2 linked regions of the Arabidopsis thaliana genome follow. The protein of the gene in region 2 interacts with the protein of the main gene of each other region in a pairwise test. Each region holds a gene or a part of one and is shown on either strand. Other genes may lie near its edges.

Region 1 (7,575 bases), on a different chromosome or scaffold from region 2:
TAGAAATTGAAGATCTTTTTAGATTTCGGGTATTTGATGTTCTAAACATGGATAATATCTGCATCTTGACCAGAGCAAACAAACAGAGTATATGATTATGAAAATTGAATACCTTGTATAACAAGTCACTGAGATATGAAAATTGCATACCTTAGAAGCTTCTCTAGAAGCTCTCCGATCATCACTTTTTGATCTCATTTCACCTGTCCAAGAACAGTGTTTTTCGGTGATTGTAGTATTCGATCTATAAAAGCTACAAGCTTTTTTTATCATCCTTTCTTTGTTGTCTCGGACTTTTGGCAACACGCTGTCTTTTGTCATCCTTCAACTTTCCCTCTTCTTCTTCCCTCTGTCTCTTCTTCTCAGCTATTGCTGCCTCCATCTTCTGCTTCAAAGTCATTTCTGACTCCTTTTTCTTTCGGTCTAAACGGAACCGCTTTTGACTAGGGTTTCATTTCCCTGTCCTCTCAAACCAAAGGGTGATACACAACTAGCTCCAACACATGACAAACGGTCAGAATTTTCTGATACAACTTGGTGATCTTCATCAATTTGACTCCTCTCTACACTTGGCTGTTCTGGTTTGAAGGAGCACGAGCCATGACTCATCGATCCAGTTTCCTTTGACAAACTTTTCCTCTGCATCTCCGTCTCTCTTTTTTCTCCTCTCATTTTTTAGCTCATTGTTCACAAGCTAATTAGTTGCAAGTGTGATGCATAGAACAAATCGCCACGAGGAGGATCCTAGACAAAACTTTTCCTCTAGGGTTGGTTTTAGTCTTTGCCTCATCCTAGACAAAAGGAAGCAAGAGAGAATTCTGAATCTTTCACAAGTCACTGTTAATATATACTGTATACACTTTTATAAAACGTTCAGAATCAAAAGACAAACACTAAAGACAAAACAAAATCAAAAGACAAACACTAAAAAGACATTTCAGTGGTATTTTTGAGTAAAAGAAACTAATGATGATATTTTTGGAACTAAAACTCATTCTAATGGTAATTTAAAAAATTGCCAAAAAACATTTATAGCCCTTCCAATTTTGTGAATTATTGACACGAATACCACACAGTGAATGTATACTCCTCTGCGACTCCACCACAAGCTCCACTTTTTTTCTTGCGTCTAGCGTTGTAAACCCAAATTCATAAGTTGTATTATTAAATAAATGCTTAGGTACTAATACTATTTATTTCCGTTTTAGCCTCCTCTCCGGTAACGTCTGACCTTTGTATTCCTCCGTCCATGAGATTGCTGCATTTGCTATCTTGTTTGTGGTGTTGGGTGGTACAAATCTTAGGTTTAGGCAATTTTAGAAAGTGTGTATGTTAGTTTATGTTCACTTCTACGGGTAATCCAGGATTATGGTATGGTTGCCTCGCTCTCCTTTCTCTTGTTGATAGCCGCTTTGGTCATATAGTTTGCTTGCATTATTTTGGTTTTGTGATAAATGATTTTGTTGAACTTACTTTTGCCCTTTGATGAGTTTTATTGTGATCTCTCCGGTTCGATCGCTTGACTTCTCTCTTCCGAGTTTTGTCCAGAATGAACTCATGTGAGAAGAACTCTAATAAGTCAAAGAAGTAAATAGAGTCTTGACCTCTCTGTCATCATAACGTTTACATAAGCAGCCTAACTACATGTAAAAACTACAAACAAATATATCTTATAAACTGGCGAAAGCCTGAAACCAATAACAGAAGCAAAAACACGGGCCGGTTCAAGCACTATATTTACAAAAAGTTTCAGTTTTCAGGACACTGCAGATGCTCTGAAGTCGACGGTTAGACTGCAGACTGACATCAAGAACACAACTGCAACTACTGCCGCCCTAAAGAGTCCTCCATATGAACATTTCACCGACGTAATCTTTTTAAACACAAAACCGGTCACGTTCTTTGATCTCATTAGCTTTCCACACCTTTTCTTTATACTTTCTCCAACCGTGTCCTCAGCCTGCATAGCATTAACATTTTAATGTCATGGATCGATTCCACTCTGCGACGTGAAACCACATACACGCTAAAAGAAACCAAGGATGAGTAATTCATCAGAAGGTGGGTGTTATTCTCACCTCTCTCTTTATAGCTTGAAGCTCAGGATTCTTCGTGTTAATGCCATTAAAGTTACTTTGCAGACGCAGCCTTCTTGGACCATTTCCCTGCGCTATATAGTCATTGGTATAACCTGAGGGTTGTGCCTGGCGACTCTTAATCTGGATACCCGTCACTGAAACATCATTGCTCATGTCAACTGCTGAGCCCTGTTGACACACTTGCGCAATCTGCAATCAAGTAAAGTAGTTAAGAGTTAATACGATTTCTGTTTTCTAGAAGTACATACAAATGATATAATGAGTTTTGAGGAATCTTCATGTACCTGATCTGGTGCTACAACATCAAAACCACTTTGCAAAACATACTTGTGCTTCTCTGGATCCTCGTCTGGGCTCTTGAGAATCGAATCAAGAAAATCAGATATATACGTATCTACTTCATTTGTACCATACTGAGTCTGGATTTGGAAGCTGTTGTTGTTGTTCCCTGAAAAATTACTCGAGCCAGGCTGGAATGTGTTGTAAGAGGATCCAAGCTCAGATTGGACTTGAGAGTGTAATGGAGAGAACAGCGTGAAATCTAAGGACTCCAATTCCGGATACCATTTAAAATCTACAAGCTGCATGCCGAAAATAAACATCATTAGTATTCAAACAGACACTAGAGACAATCATCTAAAAACTGTCTAAGAGAATTTTTCAATGTCCTCACCTCTGCGGTTGTAGCCTCATCACAAGCATCACTATGAGAATCTCCAGAGATTACAAGAGAAGATTCTGCTATGTCATGACGCTTCACGTCTTCTGTTTTAATTACCTCAGATACTTCTGACTTAGTCACTTCGACAGTTGGAGACGAGACAGCAGGTTCTTCAACTTCATCTGACTTCGAATCTTCTTCCCCTAAAACCAGTTCTTCTTTCTTGAACAATTTGCATATAACAAACGGACTCTGCATATATATATATCAACACAAGCACACAATAAGCTACAGAGCCAAATTTAGTTTTCCAATGGTTACACATCTAAAAGTATGCATTATTTACCTGGCCAGGATTGGTACCACTAAGATCATCCTCCGTGGCACGATACTCATGAATAATCCAATTGGTTCGTGTCCCCCTAGGAGCTCTACCCGCGTGGAAAACTAGAGTTCTCTTCACACCAATAATGTTAGTCTTACCGGATTTTATCTTCCGGTCTTTTCCTGTGGCTTTCCAGTACCCTGCAACTGTTGCCCGGTTCTGTCTACTTCCACTCGGATACTTCCGATCCAATGGACAGAAGTAGAGCCACTCTGAGTCTTTAGTTTTGATCACAGAAAAATCTACAACAAAAAAAAATCACATCTTTTAATCAAATTTCAGTCACTTACACTACACCTTAACAGAGATATAACCACATACCCAAAACTAAACTATATCAAACACATATGATCGGTTTAAAGTTATTAACTTTCTTCACCATAGAAACTAAAGCTACAAATTTTAAGTTCTACCATTTCTCAATTCAACATAATGCCAGAGAAATCAAAGAGGATCTATAGAAAAAGTGTAAATTTATGAATAAAGAGATGAAGAAGTAAGTAAGTAAGTACCAGGTAAATCCCAAGGTTCCCATTTGCAAATATCGATCTCACGGATAGCTTTGACGTCGTCATCGTGACCGTTGATTTTCCTACGGAGATAGTAACGGATTAGCTCCTCGTCTGTTGGACGGAATCTTAATCCAACTGGTAACGAATCCATTGATAATACATGAAGATTCTGATTCATTGATGCTGCTCTTTTAAACGAATCGCGAGAAGAAGAAGAACCCAAGATTTAAAGATACGAATCAGAATTATTTATCTATCTCAGAGATGCGATTCCAAGGTATCGCGAAGAAGATAACAATAAAAATTTAGAGAGAAAACAAAAACCCTAAAAATGGATTCGATGATTTTGGTAAAGTGAAGAAGAAGGCAGATGTGAGCTTTGATTTGGTTTTTTCTTTCCTTTTGTGAGTTCTATATGGTGATGGCAGCGCGTGGTGTGTACACGCGGCAAACCAAGTACGTTACGCGGTTTGGAAATTGTTAAAGTATGGTTTTGCCCTTGAGCGACTTTGGGATATTAACTAGATGCAGGGGTAAAAGCGAGAAGTGAATGACTGTTGTAAAAGAAGGTGATGAGAAATGTCATAGAACGAATGATGTAATGACACGTGGAAAGGAATGGAAGTTTCGGTGCATGTCACTTTGTTTTTGGGATGGTGTTACGCTTTTCTTGACTTTTGGAAACTTGTCTTTTTTAATTTATTTAGATTTTTTCGCTTTCTTTGACTTTTGGAAACCTAATCAAAACTTCTTTCATGAAATTATGTATTAGTAAAAAGCTGCATAATCATTAGGATATTCATCATCGTTTACACGGCGTAATCCTCTTATCTTTGCAAGTTACAAAATTCAAAAAATCGAATTAAAATTCTGGAGCTAGGACCGGCTAAAAATAGAGCTAGCAACAAGAGACGAGAGAGGTCCACAAAACTTCCAAAAGTTTGACGATATCAATGAAGCTTTTCAAATACAGAGAAACATCTATCTAAATTTACTCTTACCTCTCTGCTAAACTCTATTCTTAGCCATCCCCAATTTGAATACTTCAACACACACAAGAAAAAATACCAAAGGCTCTCCATAAAAATCGGAATCATCTTCATCTATATAACCATGATTATGTTCTCTTCATTTGCTCAATCCTCGGGTCAACATTAATAAAAAAGAAGAGAAAAATAAAAAAGTTTGTGTAAATTTTTTTTGCACACTCCACAGCCTAAACCCAACCCAAAATCACAAAAACCAAAAAAATATATAATAATGGGTGGCTGTGCGAGTAGACCCAAGGAATCAGACATGCAAAACGAAGAAGGCTCTGTTCCTAACAAGCCTGTCTCTGAAAACGTAGTAGCCAAGGTAACAATTAATCTCTAGGTTTTAAATATGAAAATTTAATTAGGTTTTGTTACCGAACCGGGCTTAACCGGTTATGATCTTTTGGTATGATTAATTAATACAGGAGAACAACACAGAAAGCGGTGAGAAACAGAACCAGACAGTGGCTGAGACCACTGAAACAACTTCTGTCGAAGCTAAGGAGACATTTCCGGTCGAGCCGACCAAGGAAACAACTCCTGCTGTTCAACCAGAGGTTGCAGCCGTCGAAGAGTCTTCTTCTGCTGATGCTGGTGAGGCTGCAGTAGTTGCACCTGAGAAAGTGGAGAACGCTGCAACAGAAAACGCTGAAGCAAAGGTGGAGGCGGTTGCCGTAGCTGCACCCGAAAAGGTTGAGGTTGCAGTGGAAGCGGAGAAAAAGGCTGAAGCTGAACCAGTAAAGGCTGAGGCTGAACCAGTAAAAGCTGAGGCTGAACCAGTAAAGGAGGAGAGTAAACAAGAAGAGAAAGAAGCTGTTGTCACCGTTTGATGATTAATTAAATTTGTGAAAGTATTTTGAATGTTGTTGTATGTCACCTTGGTTTGATTTGCTACTACCAGATTGGTTTGGCTTTTGTTGTTCTTTGTATCTCAAAATGATTCTTCTTTGATTCAATTAAATATAAATCAGTTTTGCATCGTGAAAATTTGTAATCAACATTTCTTAAGTCGAACGTGTTCGTGTGTGAATTACGATCTCTGATTCTTTTTTCTCCGGAAGATACAATCGAAAACATTGAAAGATGCAAAATCCCCTGAAAACTAAAATCTTTCATTTGATCATTGATCTTTTTATTCTTGTGATGTGACTCCATCTTTCATTTGATTGTATATGCAATCTTAAGTCCTGCTCATAAATCGTAATTGGCAGTGTCAAAGAAAAGAAGAAAAAATATCAAATATTACTAAATGATTTCAATTTAATGTTAGAATGTTAAGAGATGTTTGACTACTTCACGAGGAGATGGGATCTGCATTGAAATACTACATCGAATATTGAGGATTTGGAGACTGAATATTAACACTTAGAGGATGAATGTTGGCAGTTGTTGACACCGGAAATCAACATTGCATCTGTTGGAGTATATTCGAATGTTTTCAAGTGGCAATGAATCCCTTTGATTCTGATATTATCTATCTATGGAGTCAAAAACACTCTTGTTTTGTATCTGGTAACTTGCGGACACAAGAGTTGACAGTTCATCATTCATCAGGATTCGGAGGATTGGACTAGTGATGAAGGTTGTTGTCGCATAAACACTTCTGGTTTTAAGCAGTATATGAAGTATACGGAACATTGTTCTCGTCGCTACAACAAAACTTCTATCATCATGTTACCTCAATTTGTGGTCTCACGGTGGATGGATTCCGTACACCTTCCTCCAAATTCTGATTTAACTCTTTCTATTGGTATAATACAAAACAAGGTGTTTACGTATTTTGTTTTATCCTTGTTTAGCTAGCTTTCTCTAGGTCTAGCTACTCTTTTGTGATGAATGACTTGTGCCATCTATTTATAGTCGTTTTTTCTTCTTCTTAGTTCTTGTTTGGCCAAAAGAGAAAAAAATTCAATTTCAATGGTTAGAGTCTTGAGAAATGTGAGAATGGTTTGATTCAGTTCCTCTTACCGTTACTTCACGGACTTTTTTCTGCCGTCTTACTCTATAAATAAATATCCAAATAACTAATTAATTACATTATCAAATACCATTTCCTGCCCACGCCTATTAAATAGGCCATTTAATATGCAAATATACGAGTAGATATTTTAGTAGTATCTCTAACCATAAATTAATAGACACGTGAATTTCCCCATTAACCGCCAAGAAAAGACAAAAGAAATTGTAGAAAATCAATAAATTAGCTCAAGAAATCTGTAATCATTTTTAAAATTGACAATAAAAATAAATAAATATACCGTTTATTTTTCAAGTAACGGAGTTAGATTGATTTCTATAAATAGTTAAAAATGACCAATTCATCTTCTTCTTCTTCACAAACTTTCTTTCTCCAACAAATATTATTCAGTGCCGAGTCAAAATTAGTGTTGAGAATTTGCTGCTTCTGATCAGGTCTGTTTTATTTAATCTCTGTGAATTTTATTACTTCTTCTTGTTGGATCTCATAATGCGATTTATCAGCTGCGATTAAATCTGTTTGATTGAAATTTATGCCTGATTAGGAAAAATTATCTCTAATAGTGGATCAATTTCGTTTTTTTAATTCGGGTTTTCTTGGGTTATGCAGTGAGTGAAGAAAGTTTGAAGCTTTGAGTAACTTTGAAACAATGGAGGTATTTGGAAAATCTCATGTGGTTGTTGGCTCTGCTAATGTTATTTACTTATCTGCTATATTGGGTCACGAAGGACCCAATCACAAATGTGATTGGAAATGCGAGAATGAGAATGTGTGTGGGAATATGTACCGTTGCAAACTAACTGGGTTGACTCATGTTTGTGACAAGAACTGCAACCAAAGGATTTTGTATGATAATCATAACTCTTTGTGTCGAGCTAGTGGTCGGATTTTCCCGCTTTCTTTGGT
Region 2 (7,283 bases):
TCAATTATAAAACAAGACAAACAATCAGAAGATAAGACAAACATTATACACAAGCAGAGATAAGACAAACTCTAAATATAATGACTTCGAGACAAACTTTACACAATCAGAGATACGACAAGCATCAATTCAAACACTTAAAGTAGCAATGAAATAAATGAGACAGAAAGATAATATTTCAACAGAAATCCAGAAAAGTTGAAGACTTTGTCGCCCAAAGACGCAATTCCCCAAAAGGGTTAACGTAAAAAACATAAACGACGCAAATGACCGGAGCTTAACTTATATCATTTCAAGCATTTGGGTAAACCACTGGAAAAAGCAAGCACTAGGCATTAAAAATGGGACCTTTACACAAAATTTCAGGAAATTGAAGATCAAATTTCTCGATTCAACTAAAAATCTGAAAACTCCCAAATGGGTTTCAGAGAAAAAAACAAGACCATGACCTCGATAGACAAATCAAAGGAGAGAAAGGACTTCGTCATAAACACAGAAAAAATGAAACAGGAAAAAAACTTCTGATATCGAGTGAAAGAACGGAGTAATCAAAAGAGAATTTTTCAGTTTCAAGGTAGGTTCAACGGAGAGAAATAATCACTTACCCGGCGGAGTCAGAAACAGATGTCGAATTCGTAAAACCCCAATAACGATTGAGGAAAATGCTTTAGGGTTCTTCCAGAGTGTCTTGAGTCTGAGAATCGAGATTGGGAGAGTGAGAAGCAATAAGACGCCGTTTGAATTAAACTAAGAAACGGTGCGTTTTAGTAGCACATATTCATTTTTAGTGAAGCCTTGGTCGAGTAATTCCACGTCGGCCCACGGGTGTGAAGTCTCTGTCTGAACCATACCCGCCGAAATAAATCCGTTTACTGTATATAAGTATATAACTATGCCTAGGCATTCAGATTTTGAATAGGATTTAGTTTGAATATTTTTGGATTTGGATAATTTGGATAGAAGAGTTTATTATATATTCAGATTTTATGACTATTCAATTCAAATAGCTGTCGAATTTGGATTGGTGTTTGGAAGAAAAAAACAAAAAAATAATAAACATTTTGATTATACTAAAATTTGGTTATATTTTGCAAAAAAAAAAAAATGTATAAATTTATCAAATATAACTACAAAATTTTGGAAGCCTAGGTTATTTAAGATATTTTTGTTATTTTGTAGTTTGTGGTATAAATTTTGTAACTAAATATAGCTAATATTTTGGATATGTAAATTTATTTCGAATTTTCGGATATTCTTTAGATTAATAATTCGATATCTTCCTTTGGGTTATCTAAGCTGACAAATAGTCCCATGTACCGCCCAAAGAAATTTTGTAATGCAATCGGGTTTTTAGATAGATATACAAGTGAACGGAAAAAAAGTATGACCAAACACTTTGTATCCTATCAAAGGAGACGATTACTCTTTTCGAACCATATAGCCTCGTTAGTGGCATCCAAATATACTCCAATTCTTTCTGTCTGAATGTCTTTGATAGCCGCTTAGAGAAAACCACCTCAATATCCCCATTGCGTTGGCCGTTAAGCATAGTTCACAAAATGACAAAATGGTCAAATTCAACCAGTCACCAAATCATCAACAACAAAAAACAATTTCCACATAATTATGAAGGACACATACATAACATAACAAGAAAGAACAAAGCCACATACATAATCTAACATTTGATAAACCACTTTCCACATAATCATGAAGAACGCAACAGATAACAAAATATATTTGTTTTTGGAGATTTAGCACATCTACTTGAAAAAAAAACTATATCAAAATGAACAAAGTGGAGATTATATATCTGAGATGGTTGTTTTGATTGAATTACAACATAGAAATAAAACTATAGAGAAAACTGTTTATTTCAAAACATATTTTTGAATTTTGTAATAAAATAAAAACTGTCTCCAAAATAATAATAGAATTTTTATGTCTTTGATCTTGTACATTAACAAGTGATCTAAACATCAAAAGCTAAATATGACATTTTTCCTAAATATAAACCATTACTTAATACATTTATAACGGAAGAATACGAGTAAGGGTCGAGAATAGTTTCGAAAGCTAAATATGCTATCCGGAAGATTTTCATCAAAATATATTGATTAATAAAAAGAGTAAGACTACAATAAAATAAATAGTAACACATTTCAGCGGATGTTACCAATATCGTCGGTACTAAGATTTGGGGGAAGGCTACATATTGTTTTGACATTTACGACACGAAAAAAATGCTTATTCAATTTAAATCCTGTACACTTACATTTACAGTCAAATTACTTGTGTAGACAGAGACGCAAGTGTTTACAACAAAGCTACTTACGCTTTTTCAGTCCAATGTTTCATTACTTACTCACCCATACTTCTTACCAAAACCACAGTTCGTACTCTCGTTGATGTAACCTGAAAATACAAATGCGTAATTTTTCTGCGTTAGAAATTGGCATAAATCGGGTAAATGAGGACAACTTGCTAGGGTTCACTAATAAGTGCAGAATGATTTTCAAGCAGAAAATAAACGTTTAACAGATACTGCATATGCAGGTTCATTTAACAAGAATTTGTCGACAATGTCTAGCTAAACAACCAAATTGTTGCCAAACATCATGCACATATCGAGAAAGCTAACATGTGAATCACAAAATAGTAAAGGAATCATAATTAATGAGTAGGTTTAAGGATGTATTACCGTCCAAATAGTTTATAAGGTCAGCTGCTCGATATTCTTTGTATTACGTAACATCATACTCCCGTTTCTTTTCTCCTCTTGCTCTTCGTATGGGTTACCTCTATAAGTCGAACTTGCCTCCTCATTATCTGAAGACCCTGGCCTTTCTGTTAGGAACTGTTCCCAGAATACATCATTCACTCTTGCTGGAGGAGCTGCATTTGCTTGGCTACCTCCAACTGCAATCTCTTGTCTACCCCGATTTTTCTCACTTGCACTTGTTTCTATTGAGTTAAAGTTTAACTCCTGACTTTTAAGAGTCGTCTTAGCTATCTGTGAAGCTGTTTTGTCCGGTAACGGAGCAGAAGCCAGGGTTAGATTTAAATGACATGAAAAGCTACCATCAGTCTCCTCTGAAGAAGTTAGCCTCTGCTGCAAGGTCTCCACCCTTGTATTATCATTTAACAGTAATCTCCTCGGGCATGTCCCGGTATCCGCAAGCTCTAGAGCTTCAGGTGCAAATGGTAGGCCTTCTCTTTTTGTTAGTGTAGTATTTGGATCACCTCCTGACAGTATCCCTTTGGGACTCGCACCTTCTTCATTGGAACTTTGTATACTGTGTGAAACCATGTTCATATCTGAATCAGCTGGAGAAAGCTCTAGTCGCAATTTATTAGAGAAATTTTGATGAAAAATGTTTCCAGACTCGCGTCTCGAGCTACCACTACTATTATCCAGATGAGAATCTTCTGAAGGTGGCTTTGATTGCTCAACTTCAGGGAGCCTTCGCTTTTTGTTGTAAGCTGAAATATCCAACTGCTCGACTTTCTTACCAAAATTCTTAACAAAAGTAGGATTCCGAATCGCAGTTTCCAAAAAATTCAGCAGCTTCTTCTGCCTATTCTCCATATCATCAACATGCTCAGTCATTTCTTCAAACTGATGCTTTGCTACAACCTTCTGTTGTTTGAACTTTAAAAGCTTAGCTTCAATTGCAGCTTTCTCACGTGAAAGCTTGTCCATTTGCTCTTGCAACACTGCTCTTTCTTGATCAGTCGACGAAGCAGGTGGATGACTGTGGCTGTGTATAGGTTTCCTTCTATGTATATTCTTGAGAAGATGCTTCTGATCCTTAATAAAATCATCATTCAAAAACTCCCACCTCTCTGGATCAATCTTCCTAAACCCCTATAACCATAATCCCAACAACATTCACACCGTTAATAGAAACCTAAAGCAGAGAACGAGGAAAAACAACACAGTCTCTAAGTTCACCCATTTCCACAATTCAGTCCATAATCACACAGAGACTACAATTTTTAGCTACATTTCATCTTCTCGTTGAATCAATCAATCCACAATCCATAAACTCATTTCCATAATTCAGTCTATAAATCACACAGAGACCTAGATGCGTTCTAACATTTCCAAAACCCCTTTTACATTGGAAACTTGATCAAAATTAGGTCAATTCAAAACTTGGAATATAGAAGAGTTTGGATAGAATCTGACTCACATAGGTATTGAGCTGACGAATGAAGGAAGAGAAGTTATTGTGTTTGAAGTAGGTTGGAAGAAGGAGGCGTGAAAATTCGGCATGATTCCAAACGATGAAGCTGTTGTTGTTAGCGCTCCACGATACGATCTGGTCCGTTGATGAATCGTCGACCATCTCGTAGGTTTTCACCAAGAAAGGCGCTGGTCCTCCGGCTCCTTCTCCGCCGCTAACGGAGGCGGAGGAGTTACCTAATGCGCCGTTCATTGTTGAATCTAATCAGAAACTGGTACAAGAGATGGTGATGCTGGGAAAGAGAGAGATCCTTTGCCGTAAATAAATGAATAACTTTCTTTTCATTTTTTATACTAATAATATCTAAAACTGCAAATTAAACCCAAAAAATACCTAAATTGTTTAGCTAAAACTGCAAATGGCCAAGTAAAAATGATAAATTTCATAAAAATGACTCTTTTGAGTGTTACTTATAGTCTTATAGACCATAGTATTCAACAAATATTGTTACGAATTTGTTTGAGTATAAATACTGTGATACTAATTTCTATCCACTGTCTTTTGTTTGGATATCTCACAATTGAAAGATATCAGACAAATAGAGCTAGTGAAGTTTAATAGAGTGAAATCTTTTGAGTGGAGTTATCTATATTTTTCTGTTATTTTAAATCGTGTTATTCTATCCAATTGTAAAACTTCTAATTTTTCATTTTTGTCATTTGTGTGAGATCTTAAAACCAATTTTTAGCCTTTAAACCAGTTTAAAACATTATAATAATTATTAATTTTGACATTATTATTTGATAATTTATAAAGATTTCACGATAAAATAGATAATGTTTGTCAAACTAATGAAAAAAATAAGTAAATATGCATTCAAATTTTTTATAATTAATTAGGATATATCTATTTATATAGTGTTAATAAATAATTCAATAAGGATTTTGTTGACGAGAAAGCATTAATAGTCATATTTGACAAAATACCAAACATATGATTCTCTTAAAAGTTTACGATAGATAAAACGAAGAAAAAAACAGAGTTAACGATAACTTGGTACCCAAAAGACAAACCTTTTGTGTTCATCACTGAAATAAAGACTACTATGAGGAATATTGAGGATCAGAGAACGAAAACTTGGCATGAAGGAGAGAGTCTTGGAATGGTAAGGAGTTTCTTGACGATGACAGATTCTTCCTTCTCTCTGAAGTTACGTAAGCATAGTGTGAGTTTCTTGAGGATTGTTGAGTTCTCTAGAAAGTAACTCACTAGTTTCAGTTTTATCTCGCTTGCCTCCGCTGCCATCGGCTTTGCAATCTTAACATACTCGAGAGATGTTAGAAACCGCCGGGGTCCAGGTAAAATATTAGCTCCCTCCTTCCCTGGAGGTATACTAAATCCCTGCAAAGACAACAAGTTGAATATGTCTTACTTTTACCATTTGCATTCATAGTAAGGAAGAGAGTTTATTATTAAGTAAAGATCCTAACCAAGACAAGAGATTTTAGATTCGGGCAGCTCTCAAGAAAGATTGGCAACATTTCCCACCTGTAGTCGGCGAATTCAACACGCAAGAAAGATACATTACGGAATAAGGGTAGTTGTTCACATCTTGAGTAATCATATATGACCTGCTCGAAGAAAATAAAAGATATTAGTATGAAACTTATAGGATAAAGTGAAGAATTCAAATAGTAAATTCAATGATGGTTACCTGAAGAGTACTCGAAGAGATGATCATATCTTTAACACCAGATAAACCGACAAGAAAGTCACGAATTATATGTCTCGTTGGTAGATAATTTGGATCGAACATATATTCGGAACCTAAGTTAAACACAAAATCAATATCCGCCTTAAGAAGGGAGCCATGATTTTTCATTATAAAACTTGCAGTTCGTTTATCATTGAGCTTTAGATAGTGAAGCCTAGGAGCATCAATTACAACTTCTAGATAATCATCATCGTCTGCAACATAACTGAAGCTCAATAGAGACTGCGAAGACACTTGAACACTTTCTGAAATGTCGTTCAAGTTAATCTTGTTTACACTTAAGCTTTCGAGAACTGGGCAGCCTGAGACCAGCATTTCGAAAGCGAAATCTTCGTCAAACACAACTGCATCTAGAACGATAACTTTGAGGGAAGGTAAAGACACAAACTCGCGATTAGGCAAGTATACGTCATAGAGATTTAAGGATATCAAGCTCCCACACGTAAAAACTGTTGGGGGTATCACCACTTCATCTCTCCCCCAAGTTTTGTCCAGGATATGGAGATGTTGAACTTTCCGCTTAACAACAGCGTTAAACCACTCGGTGAAATGAACAGTTTCAAGCTGAACATCGTCATACCAATTAACCGTTAACTTAAACTTTTGTAAACACGACTCGCTATTAAAACCTAGAAACCTATAAACGAAACCCAACAAAGCGTTGAATTCCGATGAATCATAATACTCCCTCACCATGAAATCACCACATTCCAAGTCCAAACCAGGTACATATCTCCAGACATTTCTCCAGCGGCGTGATAGTACACTTAACTTAACCACATCCTTGGTGGGAAGATTCAAGAGAATCTTAAAAAGCAAGCAATCTGGTAAGTTTCTCAGCCGATCTACTCTATCACCTGATGGCTTCGCACTAACGCGGCTCTCCCTGTCTTCTTCCATGTTATCTGCCTAGCAAACATCGAACTGAAATGAAGAATCGAATAAATCTTCCAACGTGAAAGACATCAAAATGACAGAAATATGTACCTAATCAGATCAAACGGAGCGAGATCGAGATTGAGATGCTTAAATCTCCATGGAATTTTCCGATCGTATCTACTGTGTCTTCACTCCAGTTTTAGGGTTTCAACTTTTTCAGGTCAGTAGTGGAAAGGTGAAAAGTCTCTAAGTGCTGTTTCGAACTACGTGTATAATAAATAATAAACATGTTCAGTTTAATTTAGTTTTAAGTGATCGATCTATAGTTACGAAAAAAAAAAACACAAGTCTGGGCTTTTAAGAACTTAGCCCACTATAGATAAAAATCGAACCAAACCGATTAAAAAAGTTTTGGTGCAAATCGACGAATTTATATTCAA

What was found.
Region 1: the proteins of AT-HSFA5 (region 2) and NAC062 interact in a two-hybrid assay, tested with the Arabidopsis thaliana proteins (one large-scale study listed by BioGRID).

What each region holds. Positions count from the first base shown.
Region 1 is NC_003074.8:18,360,883-18,368,457, forward strand, and holds NAC062 (NAC domain containing protein 62), read right to left. Parts: upstream 4,078-7,575; 5' UTR 3,836-4,077; coding exon 3,658-3,835; intron 3,388-3,657; coding exon 3,107-3,387; intron 3,013-3,106; coding exon 2,773-3,012; intron 2,681-2,772; coding exon 2,384-2,680; intron 2,289-2,383; coding exon 2,079-2,288; coding exon of another isoform or gene 2,055-2,078; exon of another isoform or gene 1,961-2,054; coding exon 1,757-1,960; 3' UTR 1,561-1,756; downstream 1-1,560. Other genes in the region: AT3G49540 (uncharacterized protein), read left to right, coding at 4,918-5,013, 5,117-5,521; AT3G49550 (uncharacterized protein), read left to right, coding at 7,319-7,575. UniProt on the Arabidopsis thaliana protein: Transcriptional activator activated by proteolytic cleavage through regulated intramembrane proteolysis (RIP). Transcriptional activator involved in response to cold stress.
Region 2 is NC_003075.7:8,074,806-8,082,088, forward strand, and holds AT-HSFA5 (winged-helix DNA-binding transcription factor family protein), read right to left. Parts: upstream 4,604-7,283; 5' UTR 4,443-4,603; coding exon 4,197-4,442; intron 3,869-4,196; coding exon 2,714-3,868; 3' UTR 2,702-2,713; intron 2,416-2,701; 3' UTR 2,098-2,415; downstream 1-2,097. Other genes in the region: FBD1 (FBD-associated F-box protein), read right to left, coding at 5,313-5,591, 5,681-5,821, 5,905-6,864. UniProt on the Arabidopsis thaliana protein: Transcriptional activator that specifically binds DNA sequence 5'-AGAAnnTTCT-3' known as heat shock promoter elements (HSE).